Macaca fascicularis: one gene and its partners. The protein of the gene in region 1 purifies or fractionates together with the protein of each later gene. This does not show direct contact. Links are inferred from orthologs where the notes say so. Each region holds a gene or a part of one and is shown in the gene's direction. Other genes may lie near its edges.

Evidence for each region.
Region 2: the proteins of FBXL17 (region 1) and ZBTB10 purify together in Homo sapiens (affinity purification with western blotting; 3 studies listed by BioGRID and IntAct, with this or other methods). This does not show direct contact. The link is inferred for Macaca fascicularis from reciprocal best matches to the Homo sapiens genes FBXL17 and ZBTB10.
Region 3: the proteins of FBXL17 (region 1) and ZBTB18 purify together in Homo sapiens (co-immunoprecipitation; 3 studies listed by BioGRID and IntAct, with this or other methods). This does not show direct contact. The link is inferred for Macaca fascicularis from reciprocal best matches to the Homo sapiens genes FBXL17 and ZBTB18.
Region 4: the proteins of FBXL17 (region 1) and KLHL9 purify together in Homo sapiens (co-immunoprecipitation; 3 studies listed by BioGRID and IntAct, with this or other methods). This does not show direct contact. The link is inferred for Macaca fascicularis from reciprocal best matches to the Homo sapiens genes FBXL17 and KLHL9.
Region 5: the proteins of FBXL17 (region 1) and KBTBD7 purify together in Homo sapiens (co-immunoprecipitation; 3 studies listed by BioGRID and IntAct, counting the BioPlex papers as one, with this or other methods). This does not show direct contact. The link is inferred for Macaca fascicularis from reciprocal best matches to the Homo sapiens genes FBXL17 and KBTBD7.

The regions. Positions count from the first base shown.
Region 1 is NC_088380.1:114,361,844-114,365,357, reverse strand, and holds part of FBXL17 (F-box/LRR-repeat protein 17), read left to right. Parts: intron 1-2,229; coding exon 2,230-2,372; intron 2,373-3,514. UniProt on the Homo sapiens protein: Substrate-recognition component of the SCF(FBXL17) E3 ubiquitin ligase complex, a key component of a quality control pathway required to ensure functional dimerization of BTB domain-containing proteins (dimerization quality control, DQC).
Region 2 is NC_088382.1:90,293,295-90,296,808, forward strand, and holds part of ZBTB10 (zinc finger and BTB domain-containing protein 10), read left to right. Parts: intron 1-77; coding exon 78-250; intron 251-524; coding exon 525-830; 3' UTR 831-3,514. UniProt on the Homo sapiens protein: May be involved in transcriptional regulation.
Region 3 is NC_088375.1:5,152,149-5,156,435, reverse strand, and holds the start of ZBTB18 (zinc finger and BTB domain-containing protein 18), read left to right. Parts: upstream 1-1,477; 5' UTR 1,478-1,626; coding exon 1,627-1,639; intron 1,640-3,980; coding exon 3,981-4,287.
Region 4 is NC_088389.1:77,609,252-77,613,535, forward strand, and holds the start of KLHL9 (kelch-like protein 9), read left to right. Parts: upstream 1-1,471; 5' UTR 1,472-2,016; coding exon 2,017-3,870; 3' UTR 3,871-3,967; intron 3,968-4,284.
Region 5 is NC_088391.1:20,547,996-20,552,202, reverse strand, and holds the start of KBTBD7 (kelch repeat and BTB domain-containing protein 7), read left to right. Parts: upstream 1-1,401; 5' UTR 1,402-1,713; coding exon 1,714-3,771; 3' UTR 3,772-4,207. UniProt on the Homo sapiens protein: As part of the CUL3(KBTBD6/7) E3 ubiquitin ligase complex functions as a substrate adapter for the RAC1 guanine exchange factor (GEF) TIAM1, mediating its 'Lys-48' ubiquitination and proteasomal degradation.

The DNA.
Region 1 (3,514 bases):
TGAAATTCTTAGCCAAGGGCCTGGCACATGGAGTGTAGTCAATAAATGTTGGCAAAAATGCTCTAGAGCTCATGAAGTGGTTATTAAATAATTGAATGAGTTAAGAAATAATAAAGTTTCTCATCCTGGCTAACACAGTGAAACCCCGTCTCTACTAAAAAATACAAAAAACTAGCCGGGCGCGGTGGCGGGCGCCTGTAGTACCAGCTACTCGCGAGGCTGAGGCAGGAGAATGGCGTGAACCTGGGAGGCGGAGCTTGCAGTGAGCCGAGATCCAGCCACTGCACTCCAGCCTGGGCAACAGAGCGAGACTCCCTCTCAAAAAAAAAAAAAAAAAAAGAAATAATAAAGTTTCATTCTAACTTCAGTAAATAGTGCTAAGTCAGAAGAAAAGCCTCCAAACATCAGTAATTTTACCACCCAGAATCAATAGCTATTGACGCTTTATCTGCTTATAAAGCAGGCTGTAACAGTCAGGGCTTTTCTGGATAGTACAGGGCTTTCGTGTTCTAGCCTCAGACCTCAATGAAACAACTTCACAAAATCTACCAACCCCAGGCCATCCTGCAAGTGGTGCTTTGTCATCTTTGGAAATTATAGTTTGAGCACTTTGTATTAAAAGGGATTTATTTTATGTATCCCCTACTTCATTTTTCTTAGCAGATCTTCAGGATATCATAAGCAATGAAAGTTATGATGGTACCAGAGAGAACAATTTTCTTAGGTCAGAGACACCAAAATTAACCTGGGATGTTGCTCCTTCTACACAAAGATAGTATTCAGACCATTTCTGCAAACTTTTAGTAGTTGGCAAATCCCCAAATCCCTTGGAAAACTTTAAATATCAAAACAGCATGCACAAAGATGAAAACATTAACAAACTGGTACATAAAGAACTTTAAAAAAAAATTCTCTCTATTGTATTTTCACTGGAAAATACTGGGGTCATGATTGCTGTTTGTATAAACATTAAATATCTGGCTCCTTTGAGTGCTTTCCTACTGGAATGTACAGACATGAGTTTTCTAGTAAAAAAAAAAAAAAAAAAAAAAAAAAAAAAAAAAACTGAGGTAATTAGCAAAGAAAGACTTTTCCAAATATTCTCTTCTGTGAGCTGTAGGAGTAAACATTTGTTAACATGAGTACTTAACTCTATCCATCTAGTCAACACATTTTGGGAACTATCATTCACCTTTATTGTCACAGAAATCAACTTATGCTATCTTAGAAGGAGGAAATTATCAGAAAACCATTTCTCTTTTCTTTTTGATATTTGTGGCACTGTTTTCAGGGTTTTCATTCACAAACCAATGCACCATAAACTGGTGCTGGAGTATTGAAATTTGTTTTTCTGCTCCATAAATATAGAGGTGGGCACATCTATCAAAGTCGGTAGAAAAGAGCCACATTCACCAACTGGTCACTCTGATGGGGTAATGGGCTGTGGGGCTTTGCAGTGACTAGTAGTGCACGTCATAGATTGTGGGATAAGAGTCTGCACTTTAGTGGTGGTACAATGCTAAACAGCTAAGAAGACTACAGATACTCTCATGGTTTACAGATGACAGGCTTCATTTTATATGTTAATAGAAGGAAGACTTCTGATAGGATGAGGAAATTCACCATAACAAATGCATTCCCTTTACTGAACTCTAGCATGGCACCAGTTAAAATCAGCTGTATGTATGATGTACTCTTAATTCCTAACAGTCCCAAGAAGTACTAATGTGAAAAATATTTTATACTTTTACATTTTATAGGTCATGAGCAGATGGAAAAAATTATGCCAATTGGTAAAGACATTCACATGCAGTATAACACTCCTCAAAACGGTGTTTACATGGGTTTTTCTTGAAAAAAAAAATTAAAGTTATCTTGGGTAAAATTATTACTTGGGTTTTCTTAAACGTTGTATCTGTAATTCATTTTATTGTATTCCTTCTGCAGAGCTGCATGTTTGAAAGCACAGGTAACCTTGTAATGAATAAAACTGATAAAAGGTTGTGTCCAATGAAAGGGAAATTATGGAATGATTATTCACTTTGCAAAAGGATTTGTCATAGGGAAGCTTTCGTAAAGCATTTCAAATTTAATTTAGTTTATAAAACATTCATTTACACACAAAATTTCAGGAACAAATTTAGTGAGGAAATGAGATGAATAGTCATAGTAAGATAGAGCTCCCTTACACTGCTAACGTTAATGCTTTCTCTCTGTCCCTTCTTGCAGCACTGATAGCCATTGGGCGGTACAGCATGACAATAGAGACTGTGGATGTTGGATGGTGTAAGGAAATTACAGACCAAGGAGCCACCCTGATTGCACAGAGCAGCAAGTCTCTGAGATATTTGGGGCTGATGAGATGTGATAAAGTAAGAGTTGACTATCAAGTTGTTTGCTTTCTACATATCAGTATAGTTAATAGCTTGATGTCGTATCCTCTCCTTCTCTATCCCCACCCCCATATATTCTATATTATATATACATTATATATATATACACAATTATAGCTATGCATTGTTCGCCTGCTTTTGTAAACTAATCTGGGATTATCTTTGCATTTCCCCACTTAATAATTCTGTGCTTAAGCAGAAAGAAAAAGTAATCATATATATAGAGTCAACTTAGAGTTTGGCATCCTATTTATAAGTCCATGGACCAAAATTTAAAAGGTTACATGACAAACTGCAATTTTCAGGGTCTAACCGTAAAATTATATTCTGTGTTTCAAGTTTCCAGCAACAGTAAAGGTGGAAAGAACAGTGCCAAATTGGTTTTTCACAAGTGTGTAATTTTGCTACTGAACATCTATGTATTCTGGCCACTCGGGAACAAGAAAGGGCCAGTGAGGGGGTATGTGGGAATTTGCATCTCCCCATACATCAGATGCCACTCCTAGCACGTGATAAGAAGTGATTCCAGAGGTCCTGGTGGAAGGCCTGTGGAGCTGACCAGCGATGTGAGCATGAGTTTAGGAAATGGTGCAGCATTTAATGTGGGACCCTTTGAAGACTGAGAAAACAGATAATAAAAATCTATACTGACACCTGTAATCCCAGCATATTGGGAAGCCAAGGCAGAAGGATCACTTGAGCCCAGGAGTTTGAGACCAGCCTGGGCAACAAGGCAAAACACTCTGTCTCTACCAAAAAAAAAAAAAAAAAAAAAAAAAAAAATTAGCCAGGCATCATGCCACACACCTGTAGTCCCAGCTACTAGGGAAGCTAAGGTGGGAGGATCCCTGAGCTCAAGAGGCCGAGGTTGCAGTGAGCCGTGATTGCGCCACACCACCCCAGCCTGGGTGACAGAGCAAGACCGAGTCCCAAACGAACAAACAAAAAACCAAAAAAAAAAAAAAAAACCTATGCTAGACACCAGGCACTCCACAGATGTTTTCTTCTTTATTTATTCCATGTTTTTCCTATAACAAGTCTAAGAAATAGTTATTTGCATTGTGAAGTGGAGAAAATGGAGGCTCAGAAAGACCAGTCAGTGGCCCAGGGATACTCTGGCA
Region 2 (3,514 bases), on another chromosome or scaffold:
GAGATAAGAAGTTTTGATAGCAAGTTTTCTGTTTAATGTATAATAAGCACTTTCTCTTTTTTTGTTAATTCTCATAGGTGAATCATCTCTAATCATGAACAAGTTAAAATGCCCTCATTGTAGCTATGTAGCCAAATACAGACGAACACTAAAAAGGCACTTGCTCATTCACACAGGAGTGAGATCATTTAGCTGTGATATTTGTGGAAAACTGTTTACTCGAAGAGAACATGTAAAAAGACATTCCCTGGTAAGTAACTTTAAATACAGCTGATCTTTGAGATAAACTGTATTTATGTCAGTGAAGTTTAAAGGGATTTAAACAGTTAATTGTGAATTTAAGGAAGATTGTCTCCTAAATTGCTTTAAACAAAGAGTTTGACTTTATGAACTGATAGTGAGCTTTTTACAGAGAAACAGTGGTATATTCACTCATTACTAAATGTGTGGTTTAATTTGAGTGGTTCAAATGCATTCTATTATATATAATATCCTTATATTGGATTTTTCCCCCCTTCAATTAGGTGCATAAAAAGGATAAAAAATACAAATGTATGGTGTGTAAGAAGATCTTCATGTTAGCAGCCAGTGTTGGAATAAGACATGGATCTCGACGTTATGGTGTTTGTGTAGACTGTGCAGATAAATCACAACCAGGAGGGCAAGAAGGTGTAGATCAGGGACAGGATACAGAATTCCCTCGGGATGAAGAATACGAGGAGAATGAAGTAGGAGAAGCTGATGAAGAGCTAGTTGATGATGGAGAAGATCAGAATGATCCCTCTCGATGGGATGAATCAGGAGAAGTTTGTATGTCTCTAGATGATTAACTGACCTACTATACTCCTCAAGGATGCTGCATTTGGACCTAATATGAATCGACAATTTGGATTGTTGAACTTGAAGGCTTGCAAAATATGGTACATGCTGGATAGTAGTTATGTTGCTGTGAAAACTGTAGGGTCAAAGCCTTATAGCAAAAAAAAATTTTTTTTTATATTTGCACAGGACTATACAGCAAACAACCATGTGGTTGGATTACATGGAGTCCCCACATATTCAGTCAGTTATCAAAGTAAAATATTTTCTATTTATAGGATATACAGTAACTATTTGGGTCCTATGAAAATAGTCCTTAAAGAGCTTACATTCATGTGCTACTTTAACATGAATGGAGAAAATCCATTTATGGAAGTACAGTGACAATTGACCCAATCACTCTGTCCATCAAACCACTCAGGCTAGTTTGTACTAGTAGAGTTTTGTTTCTATTTTTATTTTTATTAATTTTATTTTTTTTAATACAGATTTTCAGTGAGGGGCTTTTTCAACCCCATTGGTTCTATTTTCTTGTATTTTTCCATTTAATTTGCTTCATAACTTAAACCAAGTCTCTTCTAGTCTTAGGTATTATTTCTCAATTTTGTGCTGATGGGCATGTTTATAAGAACTGGAGAGGTAATTTATTGGAATGAACTAACTGACTTCCTCCATTCCCCCCTTCCTTTTTGACATGAATTTTACTACTTCACAAATGAAGAATGATGTTATGAAGTTACCGTGGCGAAGTTGACAAATACCACTAAAATGATTATGATTTAGAAGTAACTTTCTTCTGCTGCTCTAATCTGATAAATGGTTACTATATGATGTTTTCTGACATGGTATTCGGTTTTGGGTATCTGTTACTTTGGCACTATTCTTGTTTGCCTCTTTATTTTTGCCAGTGTACTATACCTCAGTCCTATTTGAAAGACCTAATTGAAAGAAAAATCATAGAAATAAGTAAAATGATTTGTTTTATAATTTATCCACCATGTCCAGTTTGGTTAGCTTGTTATGCAATATAAGTGAAATATCAGGTTTTTACCCATGTCCCTTTTATCATTAAAATTAACACAAAATGTGCATTCTCTTTTGTTTCATACTTAGCGGGATATTGATTGTTTTGAAATTATGATCAATACTTAATTTATTTTTTTCTGTTCCTTGAAGTCACTACACCTTGATACAGCCCTTCTAGTAGTCACCATGATTCAACAGTCTCAAAAATCTTACAAATAAAATTCTGAGAAGCTTTATTATTCTATAAACTAAATTCTTCAGGGTACAAAGGGTGACATTGAGGTGAAATTGTCAGATTTACTTAGCCTGGTGACATGAATTAGCTGATTGTGGAACTCTCAGCAGCATTTCACGTATTGTTAACATGTATGGCATTTATTAGCATATTGTATATTATATAAGATTGAGGGATGTCATATTTTCAGCTTTCTTTTAAATAAAAATTGAGTATATTTTCCTATTTTATATCAGGTAACTAAATTATGCTAGTTATGTGGAAAAAATTGCAAAGATGCTTTGACAGATATAATCCCTTTGGTGCTCCATCTGATCAAAGTTGGAAAGTTGATGTTTTTTAAGAGACAAGCTTTATCATTGTCTCTGATTTCAGTAGAATAATGGTTTATTGTTAGACAATGATGTTTCTGCTTGGATAAATCAAAGATAAATTACAGTTACATGGTTAGATGCATCTTTTGTCATCTATATTGTAGTTTCTACATAACTGTAAACCTGACAGATAAGAATAGTTTCAGTTTGATTTTTGTTTAAAACAGATGAGTACATCTTAATGTTCTAGACAAATGAGTAACATGTATTTCTGGTAGAAATTAGTTGGGCAAAGATACTATGAATGAAAAAGTATTTTAAACGTAAAATGTTCTTTGTGAATATGTAAGTATAGTATTAAGATTTCTTTCATCCCATTTATTCCCTTCCTTTAAATAAACTAGTTTACAATTGGTAGATCTGTCTATATATAAATATATATTAAAGAACAAAGATATATATCTAAAAATCACCTAAATCTGCTTTATTAGACTACAGTTCACTTATTGCATAGAAACTGGACTTTGGCTTTACATTCTTAATGTACTTTTACTTTTCCTCAAGATATGAACTTACTCTCTTGAAGCTGAATTTTCTTTTACTACTTAAATCATTTATGTATATCTGGTAAATTATGACCAAATTTTTGTTAGATTGCATACAGTAAATTGAAATACACACTTGGTACACTACGGGATTGTTGTGCTTTTGTTTGGTTTTAGTTGGAAATAAGGTTTGATGTAGATGGCTTGTTACTGTTAATTTAAAATATTCTATAATTGTCCATTTTATGTTGTGTTGTGACAGATTTGGCTATATTTTTAGTCAATTGAAATATGATACTTTAAAAGTTTGTTTTTAGGTAATCCAAAGGAAAAGTGTTTATACTCTTGAATATATTAGCCTCAGCCTATATAAAAATTTCTTTGAAGTAAACATTTTACCAGAAACAGAATTGACAGATTTTTCTACTTGCTGACTGCCTAACTTATTTTGTTTCATGATCTCGAGGGACTGCCTTTTCCCATCTAGATCTTTTTAAAAAATAGTTTTAGTACTAAGGTATACTACTGGACATTTCTATTTTTTTAAGTGTATTCTTTTTCTGACTTACAGTAAA
Region 3 (4,287 bases), on another chromosome or scaffold:
AATCTCTATGGATCCGCGGTAGCGAGACGTGAAGGGGTTGATTTGTGGAGTGGGAGTCGCTGGCCCATTGCGGTGCTTGGGACTCATTAAACTGTCACTCACCCCCCACCCCACTGGGTAAATGGGGTGATTAATGTCTGATATACTGGAATGGGGCGAGGGCATTTATGGAGAATAGGTGGTGTGGCTGGAAAGAAATTGATCGCCCAAGGATGTCTCCTGGACTAAGCGTTCATAATTATGTCACTCACCGCGAAGTTGGAGAAAGTTAGGTTTGTGACTTTGGGAAAGCGAGAAGGACAGGAGAGTCGTCGGGTTTTGTTACTATTTAACTCTCCGCCACGGCTTTCTAATGGGAACGAAGTGGTTATCACCAGGGCTGGGACGCTGACGCCTCAGGCCCCAGTTCCTTTTCTACCCCTCGCCCTCCCAAGAGTCTGAGGAGATATATTTGACATTCAGAGACGTCGCAGCACCCTGCCCGGCACCGGTCAGCCCAGCCCGGGTCGCGTTACAGTTTCATCAGCTTTTAGAAAAGACCCACAAACTCTGGCTGAAAAGTTCTCAAACTTACTAGACCTGGCTTCCCCCCACACAAAGATTTTCTTGTGATCATTAAACATGACAGAGTGACACCCCCCCCACACACAAAAAAGATTGTTAAGGGACACAGATCAAGGGGAAGGCAAGGTTCTGCTTTTTCTGAGCAGAAAGATCAGATATGCAGGTGCAGCATTCATTTTAAGTGACTGTAGCAGGTTGTATCAGTTTATTAATTGGTCTTGTTGAACTGAAGTACTTTCCAGGATTTCAGAAAGTGCAGTTTCAGCTTGTTGGTACTGAGAATTGAAATTTGCATTGACTGTGGCAGTGTAGGAAATTTTTCTGAGAAGGTAGTTGTAGATAAGTCATTAAATAAGAGTGAAATAATAAGGTGAACCAGTCCGAAGTAATGGTTCTGAAGAAGTCTGCCAACGTTTGAGACATGTATACCATTGTCTCAGCAGAAAAAAAAAGTGCGGTAATAATGTTGAAATGGGACTGGAGATGTCAAATGGGTTGGTTTAAAAATATCCCTAAACTGCCTTAGAAGCTAAACGTTGGAGTTAAATAAAAGTGAATCTGGATTTCCTGAATAGCACCGTGGCTTGAGTGTGCTGTCAGTATGTAAGCCAGTCCACCAACTTAAGACAGAAGTGTTGCTATTCCATAAATACAGTAGAACTCCATATGCTGAGTTTTTCAATTTCTTCTGTTAGAAAGTTTGGAAAAAAAGGAAGACTTTGAAGTATTTTGTTTATACTAACAGAAGAGAAAAGTTCTCCTAAGAAAAAGCTGGTGGCAGGAGTGTAGAGGAGTAGCATATGGCATTAAAAGGAGCACAGCTGGAGGTAGCATTTCCATCTGAACATGATGTCAGAGCAGCTGACAGCCTGCCATCCCTCAGCCTTTTATTCTAACACACAGACAGGGAGTTAGTGTGTGCGGATCTGTGGTGGAGAAGGTATCTCATTCCTCTCTAACATCATCTCCACTTTGCATCTGTCTCTCTCAGTCTGCTTTTTTTCCACCGATGTAACAGACCTGGAGCCAGCAGGACTCAGAGGAAAGGACTTAATCAGGTTTATGTGTCCTAAAGGTAGGAGTAGCAAGAGATTAGATTGAGCATATTTCTGTTTTGGTGTTTTGTTTATTTAATTTTAAAAATCACATTACTTTTCTAACCCAGTTTAGGAATAATATATGAAATTGAGTATTAAATGAACATCTTACTGGAGTTGAAAGTCTTGAGCTTGTTTAGTTTTAATTTTTTATCCCTTTTACTTGAGCGAGTAAATAACTTTAATACACAGAAATATGTCAAGTTTTGAAATGTTAAGAAAGGCTTTAAAATACTGCTTTTGGAAATCACGTTGGATTAAAATGCTTTTTTGTTGTTCACTGCTATTTAGATTTGACTGGGATGGTGGTGGTGGGGAAATACTAAACTGTCTGGAATCCAGCATTCAAACTTATATGAGAAGATTATTCTAGTTAAGAAGCTAGATTGTTGTGTAATTAATTCCACTGTGAAACTTTATTCTTCAAAACATTGAACAGCACTGCTGAAACATACAGCTGTAGTGCTTTTGAAACTGAAGGTTTTTAAGAAGAAGAAAAAAAAAACTTTTGTCCCCAGGAGAATAGTTTGACTGGTTTCCTCACTTCTCTTTCAAATATATATTTAAGAGATCTTTTATTTCAGCATAACAATAATTATTTGCAGGAGTTTTTGTGTTAGCGACTAATTTAGAACTTGTAGATTTGAGCTGCCTGAATTGGCCAGACAGCTGTAATCGCACTCCTCTATTCTTAATCTCTTTATCTGGGCAGCAGCTGCCATATGGCCACAGTCAGCTGGATCAGATGTTTATAAGCTTCCTTCTTCGTCCCTCTCTGTCCTCTCAGCCTCCTAATTTGATCACGGCTACCTTGTGAGCTGCCCTCCAATCTTTATTTTTAGCCTTCTCAAGGATTAGGATTGATGTTAGCTGTGGGGCACTTAAAGTGATTGTATTGTAAATCTTAGTTTATTCTAGCAGTGGCATCTTGCAGAATGTATTTGGGGTTAGGATAAAGTTTTAGTCTGTCTTGGGCAAAGTGTAGAAGAAGAAGAAGGAGGGAAGTAATTTCTGAATATTAAATTAAGTGTATCTATTCCCAAAATGCACTTGCTGAGATGGGTGGTGTGGAGCCTTGCTTCTGGTCACGGGAAAGGGGAAGTCGGGTCTTTCTTTTTCAGGAGTTGACCCACTGCAGTTGAATTCTGACCCTTTGTACATCTTTGCCTCTCCCCTCCGTCCATTTCACTCTCCCTCATCAGAAAACCAGGGCAATGATGAATATTTGCAAGAATAGAAGCTAGTGGGAAAACAAAACTATATCAAATTAGATTGAAACAAAGTATTTTCTGTTGGCTGAGGTAAGGCAGAACCGGGGGGGAAAAAGTTTCTCTTTTTCTAAAAAGGCTTTAAAAAAAAAACAGTTGAACCTGTAAAGCTTTTGAGTTTTATTTAAGCGTTATATGCCTTTATTTTTAAAAGTTAGAATTAATTTTAATAGGAAATTCATTTTGCCTTGCAATGGATCAAAGTTTAGATGAGAATTTTCAGAGTTAAATAAAGCCCCTCTGGTTCCTAATATTCTAAAAGTACAGTTTCTACGAAGAAATATAACAATTTTTTTCTCAGTTCATTTTGAAAAATCTTTGGATTTGTTCATAGTAAAGATGATCTTTTCCATCTGCTGGTGCAGCTCCTGATCTCGCACATGTGTGCTGTACCTGCAAATCTGAAGGCATTAACATCTGTTTTTATACACAGGGCTTTTGTTGTACCACTCTGACTTTAAAAGTAAGTTGTTTGCTAATTTCTGGACTAATTATGCAATTTCATTTTTTTTTTCTTGAATCAGCCAAATGTGTGTGTGTGTTTAAACTGTGCTTTCTAAGTACAGTCAAGTAGCAAAAGTAATAAAAGGAAAAGGATGGTTGAACAAGTTTTCTTGTATGTTCCAGGATATGTTTGGGACTTTCTTTGTTTATTATATGAGTTGTTTCCTTTGAAATTAAAGCTATTTTGTAGGTTTTGTAGGACATAATTTGATAAGTAGAGTTAGTTAAATTTCTTCTGAAAGAGATCTAAATTCTTATTCTTAGTGAGAGACTGTAGTTAAAGGAAGGCTTTGAAAGCTTGGGTTCAGGGAAGATGGAGATGCGTCGGAGGCTGTCCGGCGGGGGTAAGGAGTTGAGAAAGTGCACGTTTTCCTTCTCGCGTTTAGGTCTCGTCCGTGTGATTTGGTAGTGCTGGGTCATAAGCCTGATTGAAATTCAGGGACATGTACCACGGCGGCCAAGGCGGAATTAATTTTTTTATATGGGGACTAGAGCACTGAAAAGTTGTTCCTGACCAGGCTCTAATGAGAAATTCCTCTCTCCCCAGGTTATGAAGACAGTATGGAGTTTCCAGACCATAGTAGACACTTGCTGCAGTGTCTGAGCGAGCAGAGGCACCAGGGCTTTCTTTGTGACTGCACTGTTCTGGTGGGAGATGCCCAGTTCCGAGCGCACCGCGCTGTACTGGCTTCATGCAGCATGTATTTCCACCTCTTTTACAAGGACCAGCTGGACAAAAGAGACATTGTTCATCTGAACAGCGACATTGTTACAGCCCCCGCTTTCGCTCTCCTGCTTGAATTCATGTATGAAGGGAAACTCCAGTTCAAAGACTTGCCCATTGAAGACGTGCT
Region 4 (4,284 bases), on another chromosome or scaffold:
CTTTTCCAGATAGAGACTGATTCCTTGGAAGTAGCTCTTCACAGCATTATGGAGTTGTCATGCCCCAAGAGAGCCCTTCCACCCCTAACTCATGCAACAAGTAGGGCTCCAGGACTTCCCAATGCTGACAAAATTTCAGTGAATAATTTCTCCAGGCCAGTTTCATTCCAACCAACCTCTTGTGTTGAATAGGTTGACAATCTGCTGGAGCACCTTGTGGAGGTCAGTGGTAGTCTAAGCCTTCTGAATTTTGCTGCCATCCATCGGAAACAATAGAAAACATTCAAAACAGATGAACTGTCCATCAATCGGGCACTGGTTAAATAACTTATAACAACTCCGAGGGCAACAATAGAATTGTTTAAAAATATAAATAAGCTCTCTATAGTAATTCAGGAAGATCTTGAAGTGAAAAAAGAAAAATGCAGAACAGTGTACATGGTATGCTATCTTTTACATAAAAATGAGGAGAGTGTAATAAAAACATGACTATTCTTACTTTGCACACGCTTAAAGAACTAGAAGGACTTAAAAGACATAAACTTCAAAATTTGGAAAATGGAAGAAACTGTGTCAAAGTATACATTGATTTGTATGTCAAAATTTAAATTTACCACTAATTAAAGAAATGTAAATTAATAAAATACTTAAAAAGGGAAAAGTCAGCAGAAGGGAAAGGCACAAACATTGCTCATGATAATATTTTGGAAATACTGTCTTGGATCAGCATTTTACTAAATATTATCCATAACAGGGCTAAAATTTTGCTACCAGATTCTGTAAATTTACTACTCCATTGTTTTTCTATAAAACAATGGAGGATAAGAAGGTACATATTCAGGAACAAACAATGGGCAAAGGAAACTATAGTATGTTATTGAAAAATTATGTAGCCATTTTTAAAATTATGGAAAACAAAGGCATTTCAAGCCAAAAATTTAGACTGTATCATTTATATAATAAAGTAACAATCTAGTAGAGACAAATATTTTGCCTTTGAAATTATAACAAATTTGAAAATACGAACCAAAATTGTAACTAAGGTATCTATTACATAATGTGGGATAACAATTATTGTTTTGTAGAGGAAAAAAAAAATTAAGCATCCAGGTTTCCTCTCAATTTATACAAAAGCCGCGTTTCACTGTTATTCAAAAAAACAGAAACTAGGAATTGCAAAGTTTTAAAAAATGTATGCATTTGGGGAACGTAAGAGCTCAGATATGTGAAAAACTTACATCAAACATGCAGCATAATATACGTGCACACATTCTGTTCTATTTTGTCCCACATACAAGGCAGATCTAAGGAGCCGGGCTCGCGCCCACTCCAGACAGCTCGTCTTCCTCAACCCCCGCCCTCCCCGCCTCCCGCACACTTCCTCCCCCTTCCCCACCCCCACACGCCCGCCCACTGACGAGCTCTGGAGGCCGCGCAGCCGCAGTAGCCGCTACGGCCGCTCCCACCCCGCGGGATCCTGGGAGTAAGCTTTTCCGGAAGGAGCGGCTCGGCGTCGGGGCTAGGCCGGTATTCTAGGCCCAAGCCCAGTCCCAGGCCTGTGTTCCAGGTCCTTGCTCAAAGACAGGTCGGTGGCCGCTGCGACACTCTAGGTACAGCGGAGGGCGCAGCGGGCCGTTCGCTGAGGTTCCCGGACCCGCCGCCGAGCGGGCCGTGGAGCCACAGTACGTGGCGGCGCCTCTTCGTTGCCCGAAGCGGAACTGCTGAAGGAGCGGCAGCGCAGGCCGGACGAGGTGAACCGGGTCATTTAACCGCCTTCAGGTGATGAATCATCTGTCTAATAATCAGATTTGAGGTCCACAGCCCTTTGTGGTCCTGCTACAGGGCGATTTTCAGTGGATGACTGACTGGCGTGGCCTGAGGGGTGCCGCAGTGGCTGCCTTCCCTTGATAAGGAAACGAGCTTTCTGTTCTTTGTGGACACCTCGTTGCCTGTAAAACATTCCGGTTATAACTTCTTTCTCCGGCTTGCATCTCTGTGCAAGAGGAAAGCTTTCACATGAAAGTGTCCCTTGGTAACGGCGAAATGGGCGTCTCTGCCCATTTGCAGCCTTGTAAGGCAGGAACCACACGCTTTTTTACCAGCAATACACACAGTTCGGTGGTACTGCAAGGCTTTGATCAGCTTAGAATAGAAGGATTGCTTTGTGATGTGACTCTGGTACCAGGTGATGGAGATGAAATCTTCCCTGTTCACAGAGCTATGATGGCGTCTGCTAGTGATTATTTCAAAGCTATGTTCACAGGTGGAATGAAAGAACAAGATCTGATGTGCATTAAGCTTCATGGGGTGAACAAGGTTGGTCTGAAGAAAATCATTGATTTTATTTATACTGCAAAACTTTCTCTTAATATGGACAATCTTCAGGACACACTTGAAGCTGCTAGTTTTTTACAAATATTACCCGTTTTGGATTTCTGTAAAGTATTTCTTATATCAGGAGTCTCTTTAGATAACTGTGTTGAGGTTGGACGAATTGCTAACACCTACAATCTCATAGAAGTGGATAAATATGTTAATAACTTCATCCTGAAGAACTTTCCTGCTTTATTGAGTACTGGGGAGTTTCTAAAACTCCCTTTTGAACGGCTTGCCTTTGTGCTTTCCAGTAATAGTCTTAAGCACTGTACCGAACTCGAACTCTTTAAGGCAGCCTGTCGCTGGCTAAGGTTGGAAGACCCTCGGATGGATTATGCTGCAAAATTAATGAAGAATATTCGATTCCCACTGATGACACCACAGGATCTCATCAATTACGTGCAGACAGTAGATTTCATGAGAACAGACAATACCTGCGTGAATTTGCTTTTGGAAGCCAGCAATTACCAAATGATGCCATATATGCAGCCAGTGATGCAGTCAGATAGAACTGCCATTCGATCTGACTCCACTCACTTGGTTACATTAGGAGGAGTTTTGAGGCAGCAGCTGGTTGTCAGTAAAGAATTACGAATGTATGATGAAAGGGCACAAGAATGGAGATCTTTAGCCCCGATGGATGCTCCCCGTTACCAGCATGGTATTGCTGTCATTGGAAACTTTCTTTATGTAGTTGGTGGTCAAAGTAATTATGATACAAAAGGAAAAACTGCTGTTGATACAGTTTTCAGATTTGATCCTCGGTATAATAAATGGATGCAGGTTGCATCATTAAATGAAAAGCGTACATTCTTTCACTTGAGTGCCCTCAAAGGACATTTGTATGCAGTTGGTGGGCGCAGTGCAGCTGGTGAACTGGCCACAGTAGAATGTTACAACCCAAGAATGAATGAGTGGAGCTATGTTGCAAAAATGAGTGAACCCCACTATGGCCATGCTGGAACAGTATATGGAGGCTTAATGTATATTTCAGGAGGAATTACCCATGACACTTTCCAAAATGAGCTTATGTGTTTTGACCCAGATACAGATAAGTGGATGCAAAAGGCTCCAATGACTACAGTCAGAGGTCTGCATTGCATGTGTACGGTTGGAGATAAGCTCTATGTCATTGGCGGCAATCACTTCAGAGGAACAAGTGATTATGATGATGTTCTAAGCTGTGAATACTATTCACCAACCCTTGACCAGTGGACCCCAATTGCCGCCATGTTAAGAGGCCAAAGTGATGTTGGAGTTGCCGTCTTTGAAAATAAAATCTACGTTGTTGGTGGATATTCTTGGAATAATCGTTGTATGGTAGAAATTGTCCAGAAATATGACCCAGAAAAAGATGAGTGGCATAAAGTTTTTGATCTTCCAGAGTCACTTGGTGGCATTCGAGCTTGTACACTCACAGTTTTTCCACCTGAAGAAAACCCTGGGTCACCTTCTAGAGAATCACCTCTTTCAGCACCTTCAGATCATTCTTAGGTCTAAGGTGTAACACCTTTGCAGTACATCATGGGTGATCTAATACTTCTTCAGTTGTATCTTCTTACAGTGATTGGTACAGTTATTAGATATAAAGGTAATTGATGTTATTCGTCTTGTTTGGCTTTTAGTATGTTTATCAAGTGACTAACAAATGCATTCTGAAGATGTATTTAACATAGCTAGCTGTTTTAACAAATGAGAAAAAAAGATGTAGAAAAATGTTTAGATGTCTTTTTGTGATGTTATATAAAATTGTAGATGACTGTGGTAAATGTGTAATTATGTCCATTATGCTTCAAAGTCGAGTTTTCATCTTTGACTCCAAAATGTCAGAGGGAGGTCACTGTAACCTAAAATTAACGAAAGGTTGCCCAGTATTAATACTAGTTACCTCCCTCTTTTCATAGTTTT
Region 5 (4,207 bases), on another chromosome or scaffold:
GGTGTCCAGGTTCTTGGCGTTTTGGACAAAGAATTGGAAGAAACACATAAACAAAGCAAGGAAAGAATGAAACAACAAAATCAGAGATGTACTGAAAATGAAAGTACACTCCAGTGTGGGCGCAGGCCCAGCACAGGGCTCAAGGGCCCTGTTACAGAATTCCTGGAGGTTTAAATACCCTCTAGAGGATTCACTGGTTACTTGGTGTATACCCTATGTAAACGAAGAGAATGAATTAAAGTTACAAACTCATTTACTCGGCATACACCCTATGGAGAGGGTATTTCTTGTTATAGCTAAAGTGTGAATCGGCCTTATGTTCCCTGCCTCCAGACCCTATTTTCCTGCCTCAAATCTCTAATACTTGATTTTGATGATTTAACTGTTGATCAATGCAAATATAAAAGACTTTTGTAAAGCATAGGCTATACTGTATGTTAATTCAAGGAATGTCAGGGCATGTACTAATGCTGAATTCTGAGAATCACGTGCTTTTGTACAGAACAAAGTCTGTTTCTTGAAATATTTTGAGTTAAATACTCCCTAAAACTCCTTAATAAAGGCAATTACAGAATCTGTTAATTGATATGTGGAATGGCAGTGAAAGAGACTGTATTAGACGACTTGAAAACACTCATATTTGGAGCTTAATGAAAATATTCCTGCTCCCCAGAGATGAAATGTTAGTGAGAGTAGCAAATAATCTATTTTTATATGCCCGATTTGCATATTTGAGGCCATCTATTAACACCGTTCTTTAGGACCTCAACCTAGTCGTCTAAGACATCCTTATTAAACAAGGCCAATACGTACCATTTAACATTGAAAATAGTTAATGCCCTTCAAAATCTTTCAAAAGAATAAAAATTAAAAACTAAGTTCTTTGTAAAATTTTGCGGTTTAAAATAATTTTAAAAATTTTAAAAATTTTTTGGTTTCAAATTAGTGGGTGCCTCATTTATCATAAATTATAAAAGAGAATCTAACAATTATTGGCTACATTCTAGGCACGGGGTAACGCTTTATTGTTCTTCTAACCAAAAAAATACATGTATCTAAGTATCCTATGTAACGTATCATTCAATCACACAAAACCCTATGAAATACTGGCAGGGCCCGGTGGCTCACGCCTGTAATCCCAGCACTTTGAGAGGCAGAGGCAGGAGGATAATTTGAGCCCTCAGGAGTTCAAGACCAGCCTGGACAACAATAGTGAGACATCGTCACTTCACCATCATATCCAGAATTAATTTCTACTGTTAGGGCAGTCAGCGAAAGGAAAGCTCGCGATATTACACAAACTACTACTCCCAACATGCAAAGCGGTTTCTTTCCCTCTGTCCCCGCCCGGCCGTCCGAGAGCCCCAGCAGGCCTCGGGGCGCGAAAGGCAACCTGGAAGCGGTAGTTCTCCTGGGCGCCTAGCGGGATCGCCAGCGCGGCAGTGGGGCCTTCCGCGGCTCCAAGCCAGCGGGTCCTGTGAGGGCGAGCGGAGGCGGAGAAAGGGCGCGGGAGTGAGAGAGGGTGAGTCAGCCACTGTCTACGCAATAAAGGGAGACCTCACCGCGGGCTAAGGCTGAATTCAGAAGTGCGGCCCGTGCCGCAGTCTGTTCCAGGACGCGGCTTGTCTTAGCGTCAGCGAGGGAAGGTTGAGGAGGAGCCAGAGCCGGGTCCGGCAGCCTTTCTCGCTATCAGCGCCCGTCGCCATCTCCACCATGCAGTCCCGGGAAGACGCCCCGCGCTCTCGCCGCCTCGCCAGCCCCCGCGGTGGGAGGCGGCCCAAGAGGATTTCCAAGCCCTCGGTTTCGGCCTTTTTCACGGGTCCAGAGGAATTAAAGGACACGGCCCATTCTGCAGCCCTGCTGGCACAGCTCAAGTCTTTCTACGACGCGCGGCTGCTGTGTGATGTGACCATCGAGGTGGTGACGCCTGGCAGCGGGCCTGGCACGGGTCGCCTCTTTTCCTGCAATCGCAACGTGCTAGCAGCTGCGTGTCCCTACTTCAAGAGCATGTTCACAGGTGGCATGTACGAGAGCCAGCAGGCCAGCGTGACCATGCACGATGTGGACGCCGAGTCCTTCGAGGTGTTGGTCGACTACTGCTACACGGGTCGTGTCTCTCTCAGCGAGGCCAATGTGCAGCGCCTGTACGCAGCCTCCGACATGCTGCAACTGGAGTATGTGCGGGAAGCCTGTGCCTCCTTCTTAGCCCGACGTCTTGACCTGACCAACTGCACCGCCATCCTCAAGTTTGCAGACGCCTTCGACCATCACAAGCTTCGATCTCAGGCCCAGTCCTATATAGCTCAGAACTTCAAGCAGCTCAGCCGAATGGGTTCAATTCGGGAAGAGACTCTAGCAGATCTGACCCTGGCCCAGCTGCTGGCTGTCCTGCGCTTGGATAGTCTGGACATAGAGAGTGAGCGGACTGTATGCCATGTAGCTGTGCAGTGGCTGGAGGCTGCTCCCAAGGAGCGGGGTCCCAGTGCTGCGGAAGTCTTCAAGTGCGTGCGCTGGATGCACTTCACTGAAGAAGATCAGGACTACTTAGAAGGGCTGCTGACCAAGCCCATCGTGAAGAAGTACTGCCTGGACGTTATTGAAGGGGCCCTGCAGATGCGCTATGGTGACCTGTTGTACAAGTCTCTGGTGCCAGTGCCAAACAGCAGCAGCAGCAGCAGTAGCAGCAGCAACTCTCTTGTATCTGCAGCAGAAAATCCACCCCAGAGACTGGGTATGTGTGCCAAGGAGATGGTGATCTTCTTTGGACACCCGAGAGATCCCTTTCTCTGCTATGACCCTTACTCAGGGGACATTTACACAATGCCATCACCTTTGACCAGCTTTGCTCACACTAAGACTGTTACCTCCTCAGCTGTCTGTGTCTCCCCAGACCATGACATCTATCTAGCTGCCCAGCCAAGGAAAGACCTCTGGGTGTATAAACCAGCTCAGAATAGTTGGCAGCAACTTGCAGATCGCTTGCTGTGTCGTGAGGGCATGGATGTGGCATATCTCAATGGCTACATCTACATTTTGGGGGGGCGAGACCCTACTACTGGAGTTAAGTTGAAGGAAGTGGAATGCTACAGTGTTCAGAGAAACCAGTGGGCATTGGTGGCTCCTGTCCCTCATTCCTTCTATTCCTTTGAACTCATAGTGGTTCAGAACTATCTTTATGCTGTCAACAGTAAGCGCATGCTCTGCTATGATCCTAGCCACAATATGTGGCTGAACTGTGCTTCTCTTAAACGCAGTGACTTTCAGGAAGCATGTGTCTTCAATGATGAAATCTATTGTATCTGTGACATCCCAGTCATGAAGGTCTACAACCCAGCTAGGGGAGAATGGAGGCGGATTAGTAATATTCCTTTGGATTCAGAGACCCACAACTACCAGATTGTCAATCATGACCGAAAGTTGCTTCTCATCACTTCTACAACCCCACAATGGAAAAAGAACCGAGTAACAGTGTATGAGTATGATACTAGGGAAGATCAGTGGATTAATATAGGTACTATGTTAGGCCTTTTGCAGTTTGACTCTGGCTTTATTTGCCTTTGTGCCCGTGTTTATCCTTCCTGCCTTGAACCTGGTCAGAGTTTTATTACTGAGGAAGATGATGCACGGAGTGAGTCTAGTACTGAATGGGACTTAGATGGATTCAGTGAGCTGGACTCTGAGTCAGGAAGTTCAAGTTCTTTTTCAGATGATGAAGTCTGGGTGCAAGTAGCACCTCAGCGAAATGCACAGGATCAGCAGGGTTCTTTGTAAATAGATTTTGAGACACTAAGATGTTTCTACTGCTACGGAATGTATTTTAAACACATATCCTTTCTTTTTCTTGAAAAAAAAAAAGTTGACCAGGACCACAGATTTGGTTTAGAAAGGGTAATATTTTGAAATACTACAAGGTTTAAACAGTCCACAAAATCGACCTGTTTAATAATATACCTTCCTGAAAGTCCAAAATTAAAATATGGAAGCAAGAACTATGTAATTGACTGGGATGCTTGGTAGGTTTTTTTCATTGTTCAAATATTCATTGCACAGTGGATTGTTTTGATTAGTTAGTATGCTTTTTTTTTTTTTAATTAATTCAGTCTTCTGTTAATTTTTAAGTTTTGGTTAGTGCCACAAGGAATTTAACTTTTTAATCTGTACAATAGAAAACTGGACTAGGAATTGTTGGTGGAGTTTTGAAGGATGT